Nothobranchius furzeri: one gene and its partner. The protein of the gene in region 1 binds, or shares a complex with, the protein of each later gene. Links are inferred from orthologs where the notes say so. Each region holds a gene or a part of one and is shown in the gene's direction. Other genes may lie near its edges. The genes, in order: seh1l and mios.

Region 1 (3,918 bases):
CTATAGATGTGTGTAGTCAATAATTTGGCACTTTAGTGCATCTTATAATTTAAATATGCAGCCTAAAACTGTCAGTGTTGCGCCCCCTTCAGGTAAAAACTCTGCACTACATTTGAATTTAAATCTGCCATCACTGTTGGCTAAGAGGTACCCTTTGAAGTCAGCTGGTACATTATGATGTCACAATGCCGTTGTGAACCTGTTTGTGTGTGTTTGTTAACGGCTCCGCCCTCTCGGTCAGCCAGGCAAACGCATTCGTTGCATTTTTCAAACATGAAGTGGGAGTGTAGTAAGTTTCTTGTAGTGTGACTTGCTCTTTAATTAAATGAAATGCTACAGCATTTGTGGCCATAGCAACTCATGAGGGGAACTCATTCTCTTATTGTTTAGCTAAAAATGCAATAATAACTGTATTTATGTTACAGGTTAAACACGGTCATCTCCCCTTCCCTTCTTAACAAAACCAAAGTGTAATTCCCCAATGCATAAACATTAACATGCTGGTGCTGGTGGTGATGAGCTACATCGTAGCTACAGTTGCCCTGGGGCTCATTGTGTGTGTGTGTGTGTGTGTGTGTGTGTGTGTGTGTGTGTGTGTGTGTGTTTGTGTGTGTGTGTGTGTGTGTGTGTGTGTGTGTGTGTGTGTGTGTGTGTGTGTGTGTGTGTGTGTGTGTGTGTGTGTGTGTGTGTGTGAATAACTGGTTGTATTGTAAAGTGCTTTGAAGGGGGTTGTAGAACCCTAAGAAGTGAGTGACTTATGCTTAAGTGTACCATGAACATCTCATTTGTATCTAAAATGCAGTAAATTCGCCAAACTTGGCAACCCTGTTTGAATTGAAGCACCCCCCCCCCCAATGTGGTTCACTGTTCAAAAACCTCTCTCTCTCTCTCTCTCTCTCTCTCTCTCTCTCTCTCTCTCTCTCTCTCTCTCTCTCTCTCTCTCTCTCTCTCTCTCTCTCTCTCTCTCTCTCTCTCTCTCTCTCTCTCTCTCTTTCTCTCTGTCACGTGACAGGCGGGAGCTTGTGCTAACCAGTGCAGTGCAGCTAATCTCGCTGTTGTTTTTCTTCTAACCATGTTCGTAGCTCGGAGTATCGCTGCGGACCATAAAGATCTGATCCACGATGTCTCTTACGATTTTCACGGCCGGAGAATGGCAACATGCTCCAGCGACCAGAGTGTGAAGGTGAGCTGACTCAAGCTAGCATGTTAGCGTCACCCACGTTCCTAGCTTCTTACTGAACACACTCGTGTTGTGTGCTGGCACATTATGCGCTTATTAGCTAAATTAGACAAAATTTGTTTTAAAACTATAAACTAATTTAAAGTATTGCATGTTACTGTACTTACATTGTAGCATGCAGGCTAATGTGTGCAGACGTTTGACTGGAATATGAACGTATCAGTAAAAGCTTCAATCACGTAAGGCAGCGAGTGTTGTGTTTTAGGTAGGAACCATAGGAACTCATTTCGTGTGTTGTCAGTTTAAAATTAATGTGTGGAGATGACGTAACAGCAGCTGTTTATTGTGACTTCCTGACAGGTTTGGGACAAAAGTGAGAATGGAGAGTGGCACTGCACAGCCAGCTGGAAGGTAAACAACCTGCTTACGTTTGTTTACATGACCGTAAAAGCCCTTCCTGGGTAATCTTTGCTGTTTCAACAGATTTACTATTGCTCTACACTCACGGGCACTATCAAGTTTGCCAATAGATCCGGGTTGGACCTCTTTTAGACCTCTTTAGAACCACCTTAATCCTTCATCTCAAAGAGCCAACAAGAAGTTAAAGTGGTCCTCAGAGGCTCTGGTCCAACCTGACATGACAGCATCGGCTCCAACCATGATGAGAAGCTCCAGTTCCACCACATCCCAAAGGTTCTGGGCTGGACTGAGATCTGTTGACTGTGGAGGCCATTAGAGTCCAGTTCTAGAAACTAGTTAGAGATGATCTGAGCTATGTGACATGGTGCTGCTGGAAGTAGCATCAGAAGATGGGTCTATGTGGTCATAAAGGGCTGGACATGGTCAAACTCTTCAGCTTCTCTTCTTCTATTCTATACAACATTCAAACCATGGAAATGTCTTTTCCTCCACATTCTGATGCTCAGTTTCAACTTCAGCAAGTAGCCTTCATCATGTCTAGATGCCTAAATGGACAGTGCCGCCCGTCATGCGATTGGCTGAGTGGAAATGTGCAAAGCTGTAGAATAGGTCAATCAATCAAAGCTTTCAATCAATCAAAGCTTTATTTATAAAGCGCCTTCCGCAACCCTGTCAGGAAGCCCAAAGCGCTGAACATGGTACAGTTGTAAGTAATTATATTGAATAAATCAACAATAAAAGAAATTCAAATTACAAAATACAAATTACAAAATACAAAATGGAAATTACAAGATAGATGAAACATTCCGGTAAAATACAAATGTGTGAAACACATTTGGATTGAGTGGATGGATTGAGTGTACCAATGAAAACTGTGGAATGGATTCAACATAAAAGAGTGCCAAAATCAAACATGTTCTGGAAATGCCAAGCGGAGGAGGTGTGTTTTTAGGTGATTCTTAAAGACTGGCAGAGAAGGGGACAGCCTAACTGAGGGTGGCAACTGGTTCCAGAGTAACGGTGCTAGGACTGAGAAAGCTCGGTCCCCACGGGTACGACACCTAGACCGAGGGACAGCGAGCAGGCCTTGGTCAGAGGAGCGCAGAGCGCGTGATGGGGAGTGTCTTTTCAGGAGTGTGGCTAGATAGGGGGGAGCACCACCCTGGAAGAAATGATAAACAAAGACGAGTATTTTGAATTGTGAGCGATAGGAAATCGGAAGCCAGTGCAGGGAGGCCAGAACTGGACTGATGTGGTCCCGTTTCCTGGTCCCAGTCAGGAACCTGGCAGCGCTGTTCTGCACAACCTGTAGGCGATGCAGTGTTGACTGATACAACCCTGCATATAGAGAGTTGCAGTAGTCAAGCCAAGAAATTAGAAAGGCATGCAGTACCCGCTCCAGGTGGGCTCTTGACAGCATATGCTTGATTTTAGCAAGGCGTCTCAGGTGAAAGAAACTGGACCGGATCACAGAATTGATGTGAGCATCAAATTTAAGTCCTACATCAAGTTTCACCCCCAAACTGGTAACAACTGGTTTTGAGTATGGAGAAAGAGGGCCAAGATCAGCATAACGATCCACATTCCTGCTGTTGGGGTGAAAAACAATGAGCTCTGTCTTTCCCTCATTCAGATGTAGATAGTTGGACATTAGCCAAGACTTCACCTCATTAACACAGGAGACAAAGGACTGAATAAAGTGACCTTTCTCCTGACACAATGGAGAGTAAATCTGGCAATCGTCAGCATACAGATGGAATGATAGGCCATGTTTACGAAAGATTGACCCCAGAGGTAGCAGATGTACCTATGAAGTGACTGGTGAGTGTATATTTGTGTATTTTGGACTTATCCATGATGTAATGATGTGTGTGCAGACCCACAGTGGATCAGTGTGGAGAGTAACCTGGGCCCATCCAGAGTTTGGGCAGGTCCTGGCCTCCTGCTCCTTCGACAGAACAGCTGCTGTCTGGGAGGAGATCGTAGGGGAGTCCAATGACAAACAGAGAGGCCTGAGCCACTGGGTTTGTACAGCCACAGCTCAGTCATTAATGTTTTCATAGGTTTGCCTGTCTCGAGTCCTGACCCGTGTTTCTGGTGCTCTGATTCAGATAAAGAGAACAACACTGGTGGACAGCAGAACATCTGTAACTGATGTGAAGTTTGCTCCTAAACACATGGGTCTGATGCTGGCCACCTGCTCTGCTGATGGAGTGGTGAGGATCTACGAGGCTCCTGACGTGATGAACCTGAGCCAGTGGTCTCTGCAGCACGAGATCTCATGCAAGCTCAGCTGCAGCTGTATATCCTGGAACCCT
Region 2 (3,918 bases), about 15 Mb from region 1:
GCCTGGTCTCACGGCTAACAGGACATCAAAGATTTGCTGCAAAAATGTTTTGCTATTGACTCCCCCGATGGGTCGGGGCTATTCACTGTAGTACACACATTAGTCATGCGGTCAACAACACACAGTATTCACCATTTCAGTTTAGTCAGGGAATGAGAAACTAAATCATTTTATCTTGTCGTTCAGTCAAATCCCGTTTCCTCAATCCTGATCCAGTGAAAGATTCTCACCAGTATTCCTGCGGCTAACGCTGAGAACTTCGTTTCCATCATCACGCGGTGTGTAGTTTTTCCTCCATGATGATTTCCTCCTCTGCCCGGTGGCTTCATGAATCAGAGCTAACAGCAGCAGCCAGAGCCCCAGTCCTCTGCTCAGACTTCCCAGCAGCAGCATCTCAAACTCCGGCTTTGGAAGGTCTGCATGGAAAATACAAAACAAACATCCCGCTTCAGCATCTGGGCAGGTTCCCCAGGGCCCTAGTGACACTTCAAACCCCTTAGATGATGATGATGATGATGATGATGATCGTGCAGCAATAAACACTTTTACCATCATTAAATAAGTAAAATGAAAAATCAGCTTCTACCTGATTCAGATGTGATGAGTTACTGTGGCCCATGCAGACCGTGGGAGAAAGGTTCTGCGCCCCGTTTGGATCGGGTCACTAAGCCCAGACTGAGATGAGCTGATACGCTGTGGCTCAACGCCAGGACTTCCCTCAGCTATGAATGAGCAAGAGTCATTCCTTTAGAAGCCTGTCTGTAATTATTGGCTACGTAAATAAAGTTTTTTGTGTGATTTTTTTATAATGGTGATTGCAAAAGCAATAATAATGATTGTATAGTTTCTAAATCCTATGCTTAATCCAAACAACATATTTTAATTTGTATGTGGAATGGTTACCTTGCAGTGTTACAAATAATTTAATAAATAAAATAGATTATTTCAACAAATAACTTAATCTACTTTATCTAAAAATAGTTTCAAAGTTTTTCAGTAAATAAAAATCCTTAATAAGTCACACAATCTCTATCTGTTATAATGTTTTAATCCTTCCATAAGACAAATAATTATTTGGTTTGAAAAAAAAAAGAAGAAGAGGCAATTCGTTCCCTGCGCATTGCACGCCCTCTTGCGGGGAAAGTTACCTTGCGGAACTCTCTTCACTTTAATCAGTACGGAATTATTTTGGTGTTGCACACAACATCCGTATACGACATGTGTGCATCAAAACATAACTCGGTCGGCTTTTTAAAGGTTCTACATGTAAGTACTAATTTACTGTTTTTGTTAATTTTATCACTTGGTAGCGAAATCGTTTTTACTGCTGGGTAAATTAGTGAAGGAGAACCTGTTTAGCACGTCCTTCACCCGTTAGCCTTAGCTTAGGTAAGCTAGCATACAAGCAAATTTGGTACTTTTCTTTCACGAGCTTGTGCAACTTTTGGATTTTAGTAGATGGGTTGAACTTTGGGCCCACAATGATTTCTTCATTTAGATATCAGAACTTGTTAGCTAGTTAGCATCTCGTGGGTGACTCAACTGTTTGAAATCAGTTGCAAAGTTTCAGTAGTAGATGTCGGCTAACTCTTCACACGTTGACCTTAATTGATTGACTTTATGAGAGATTACTGCGGAAAAGTCTCAAGACTTCCAAATGCAATCGAATTTATCATAATCTGTGGTCATGATCAGTATGTTTTTATCTTTCTGGGTGAACACTATCTTCTTAGAATCCCAGTAATCACAAAGAAATAAAAAGAGGGTTTTAAAAATAAAATGTGTTGGAGTGAAACTATATTGAAGAACTTCAACAATGATTCTAAATCTGGTTCTTTGGTAATGAAGCCCTGACAAACAAACATGAAACATTTTGACTTCATGCTATGTTTATAAGTCACAATAAATATAAGGATCAACGCGTTTCTCATTTGTTCTATATTATTGAACCAGATTTTGATAACTTTTGAAATTATAAAATGTGATGTTGTAAAATATTACAGTAGTAAAAAATTTTACAAAATATTTAAACTCATTTTGTGTCAAAAAATAATTGATGCATGAATAATTAGCTGTCTTTAGTCATTTTGACATCTGTCCCCCTCCAGCAGAAATACATACACCATCTCATGTAGACCAGAACTGCATCATGCTGCACTGCATTATTTTTACTATTACACAATTGCCTGCTGTGAGATGACATCTACCCACTGCTGTCTGATTCACAGTCTCCCATGTCTTCTGTCATATTTCCAGATTGTTGAAAGCAGACTGTGTTGAAGCTCATTTTGCTCCTTCTGAATCATGAGTGGCTCAAAGCCGGACATCCTGTGGTCTCCTCACCACCCGGACCGCTACGTCATCTGCGACTCTGAACTAGGACTGTATCGCATTGGGCCTGTGGGTGGCACAGAAACAAAGCCTGGCACTCTGCCACTCTCCGAAGAAACTGCTGCTACTTTATTGGCTATAAACTCTGACACCCCTTATATGAAATGTGTGGCCTGGTACCCGAAGCACGAGCCTGAGTGTTTACTTGCAGTGGGACAAGCTAATGGCAGAGTTGTGCTCACCAGTTTGGGCCAGAGCCACAACTCTACATGTAAAGAGCTAGTGGGGAAAGAGTTTGTGCCCAAACATGCGCGACAATGCAACACTTTAGCCTGGAACCCTGTGGACAACAACTTACTGGCTGCAGGGCTGGACAAGCACAGGGCCGACTTCTCTGTTCTTATTTGGGATATTAGCAGTAAGTTCGCCCCAGAGACCAGCGTAGCAGCTGAGAAAATCCGTATCTCAACTGTGGATTTGGATTCAAGCATGGTAGTGACTAAGCCATTGTATGAGCTTGGCCAAAACGATGCTTGTTTGTCTCTGTGCTGGTTGTTTCGAGACCCCAAGCTGCTCTTGGCTGGTATGCACAGGAACCTTGCAATATTTGACCTGAGAAACACCAGCCAGAAGATGTTTGTCAACACCAAGGCCATCCAGGGCGTGACAGTTGACCCACACTTCCACGACCGTGTAGCCTCCTTCTTTGAGGGGCAGGTGGCTATCTGGGACTTGAGAAAATTTGAGAAGCCTGTGCTCACACTTACAGAGCAGTCTAAACCTCTTACCAAGGTATGAAGGAGCCTTTTCCTGTTTTAAAGAGACATTTATTTAATGCTTCATTCTTTAGACTGTAGCTGTGTTTTGCTGTTTCCATTCTCAGGTGGCATGGTGTCCAACTCGTACCGGCCTTCTGGCCACGCTCACGCGTGACAGCAACGTCATCCGCCTGTACGACATGCAACACACTCCTACGCCCATCGGGGATGAAACAGAGCCCACCATCATCGAGCGGAGCGTGCAGCCATGTGAAAGCCAGATTGGCAGCTTTGCCTGGCACCCCTCCTCTCAGAACCGCATGGTGGTGGTGTCCGCGACCAACCGAGTCATGACTGATTTCACCGTGTTCGAGCGCATCTCTCTGGCCTGGAGCTCCACCACATCACTCATGTGGGCGTGTGGGAGACACTTATACGACTGCGCCGAGGATTCGGCCGAAGGAGCGGAGAGCACCGTTGAGAAAGACATCGCCACTAAGATGAGGGAGCGAGCTCAGTCCAGGTACGGACACGACACTCTGCAGGTGTGGAGAAACCACCTGCTGGCTGGAGGGAATGACCCCCAGCTCAAGTCCTTGTGGTACGATCTGTCCTATATCCTTTATGGTGATGAAGTGACAGAAATACTTGTGAGTAAAGGTAGAGCTTTTGAAGTAGCAAATCAACTTCCAAAAGTTTTAAAGCATTTTATGAAGACCGAGTTCAGAGAGACGCCGTTTTTCCTTGTCGTTTTTAAATATGGTCAGTCACTGAGTTTCACATGAAGGCTAAATGTGGAAATGATCTAACAGAATAGAATACAATAAGA

What was found.
Region 2: the proteins of seh1l (region 1) and mios are in contact, whole or in part, in a cryo-EM structure (PDB 7UHY), measured with the Homo sapiens proteins. The link is inferred for Nothobranchius furzeri from reciprocal best matches to the Homo sapiens genes SEH1L and MIOS. Residues at the interface, in NP_112493.2 of Homo sapiens: Met1, Phe2, Val3, Ala4, Arg5, Ser6, Ile7, Ala9, His11, Lys12, Asp13, Leu14, Ile15, His16, Asp17, Val18, Phe20, Phe22, His23, Gly24, Arg25, Met27, Trp47, Ser173, Ser174, Ser175, Asn230, Leu231, Gly232, Arg233; in NP_001357005.1 of Homo sapiens: Arg279, Arg316, Ser317, Phe353, Glu354, Arg355, Ile356, Ser357, Leu358, Ala359, Trp360, Pro362, Leu366, Met367, Trp368, Ala369, Cys370, Gly371, Arg372, Leu374, Tyr375, Glu376, Cys377, Thr378, Glu379, Glu380, Glu387, Asp389, Ile390, Ala391.

The regions. Positions count from the first base shown.
Region 1 is NC_091745.1:49,023,567-49,027,484, reverse strand, and holds the start of seh1l (nucleoporin SEH1), read left to right. Parts: upstream 1-992; 5' UTR 993-1,072; coding exon 1,073-1,183; intron 1,184-1,540; coding exon 1,541-1,591; intron 1,592-3,477; coding exon 3,478-3,624; intron 3,625-3,711; coding exon 3,712-3,918. UniProt on the Homo sapiens protein: Component of the Nup107-160 subcomplex of the nuclear pore complex (NPC). The Nup107-160 subcomplex is required for the assembly of a functional NPC.
Region 2 is NC_091745.1:63,836,954-63,840,871, forward strand, and holds the start of mios (GATOR2 complex protein MIOS), read left to right. Parts: upstream 1-1,174; 5' UTR 1,175-1,266; intron 1,267-2,256; 5' UTR 2,257-2,304; coding exon 2,305-3,123; intron 3,124-3,214; coding exon 3,215-3,704; intron 3,705-3,918. Other genes in the region: col28a1b (collagen, type XXVIII, alpha 1b), read right to left, coding at 231-393. UniProt on the Homo sapiens protein: As a component of the GATOR2 complex, functions as an activator of the amino acid-sensing branch of the mTORC1 signaling pathway. The GATOR2 complex indirectly activates mTORC1 through the inhibition of the GATOR1 subcomplex.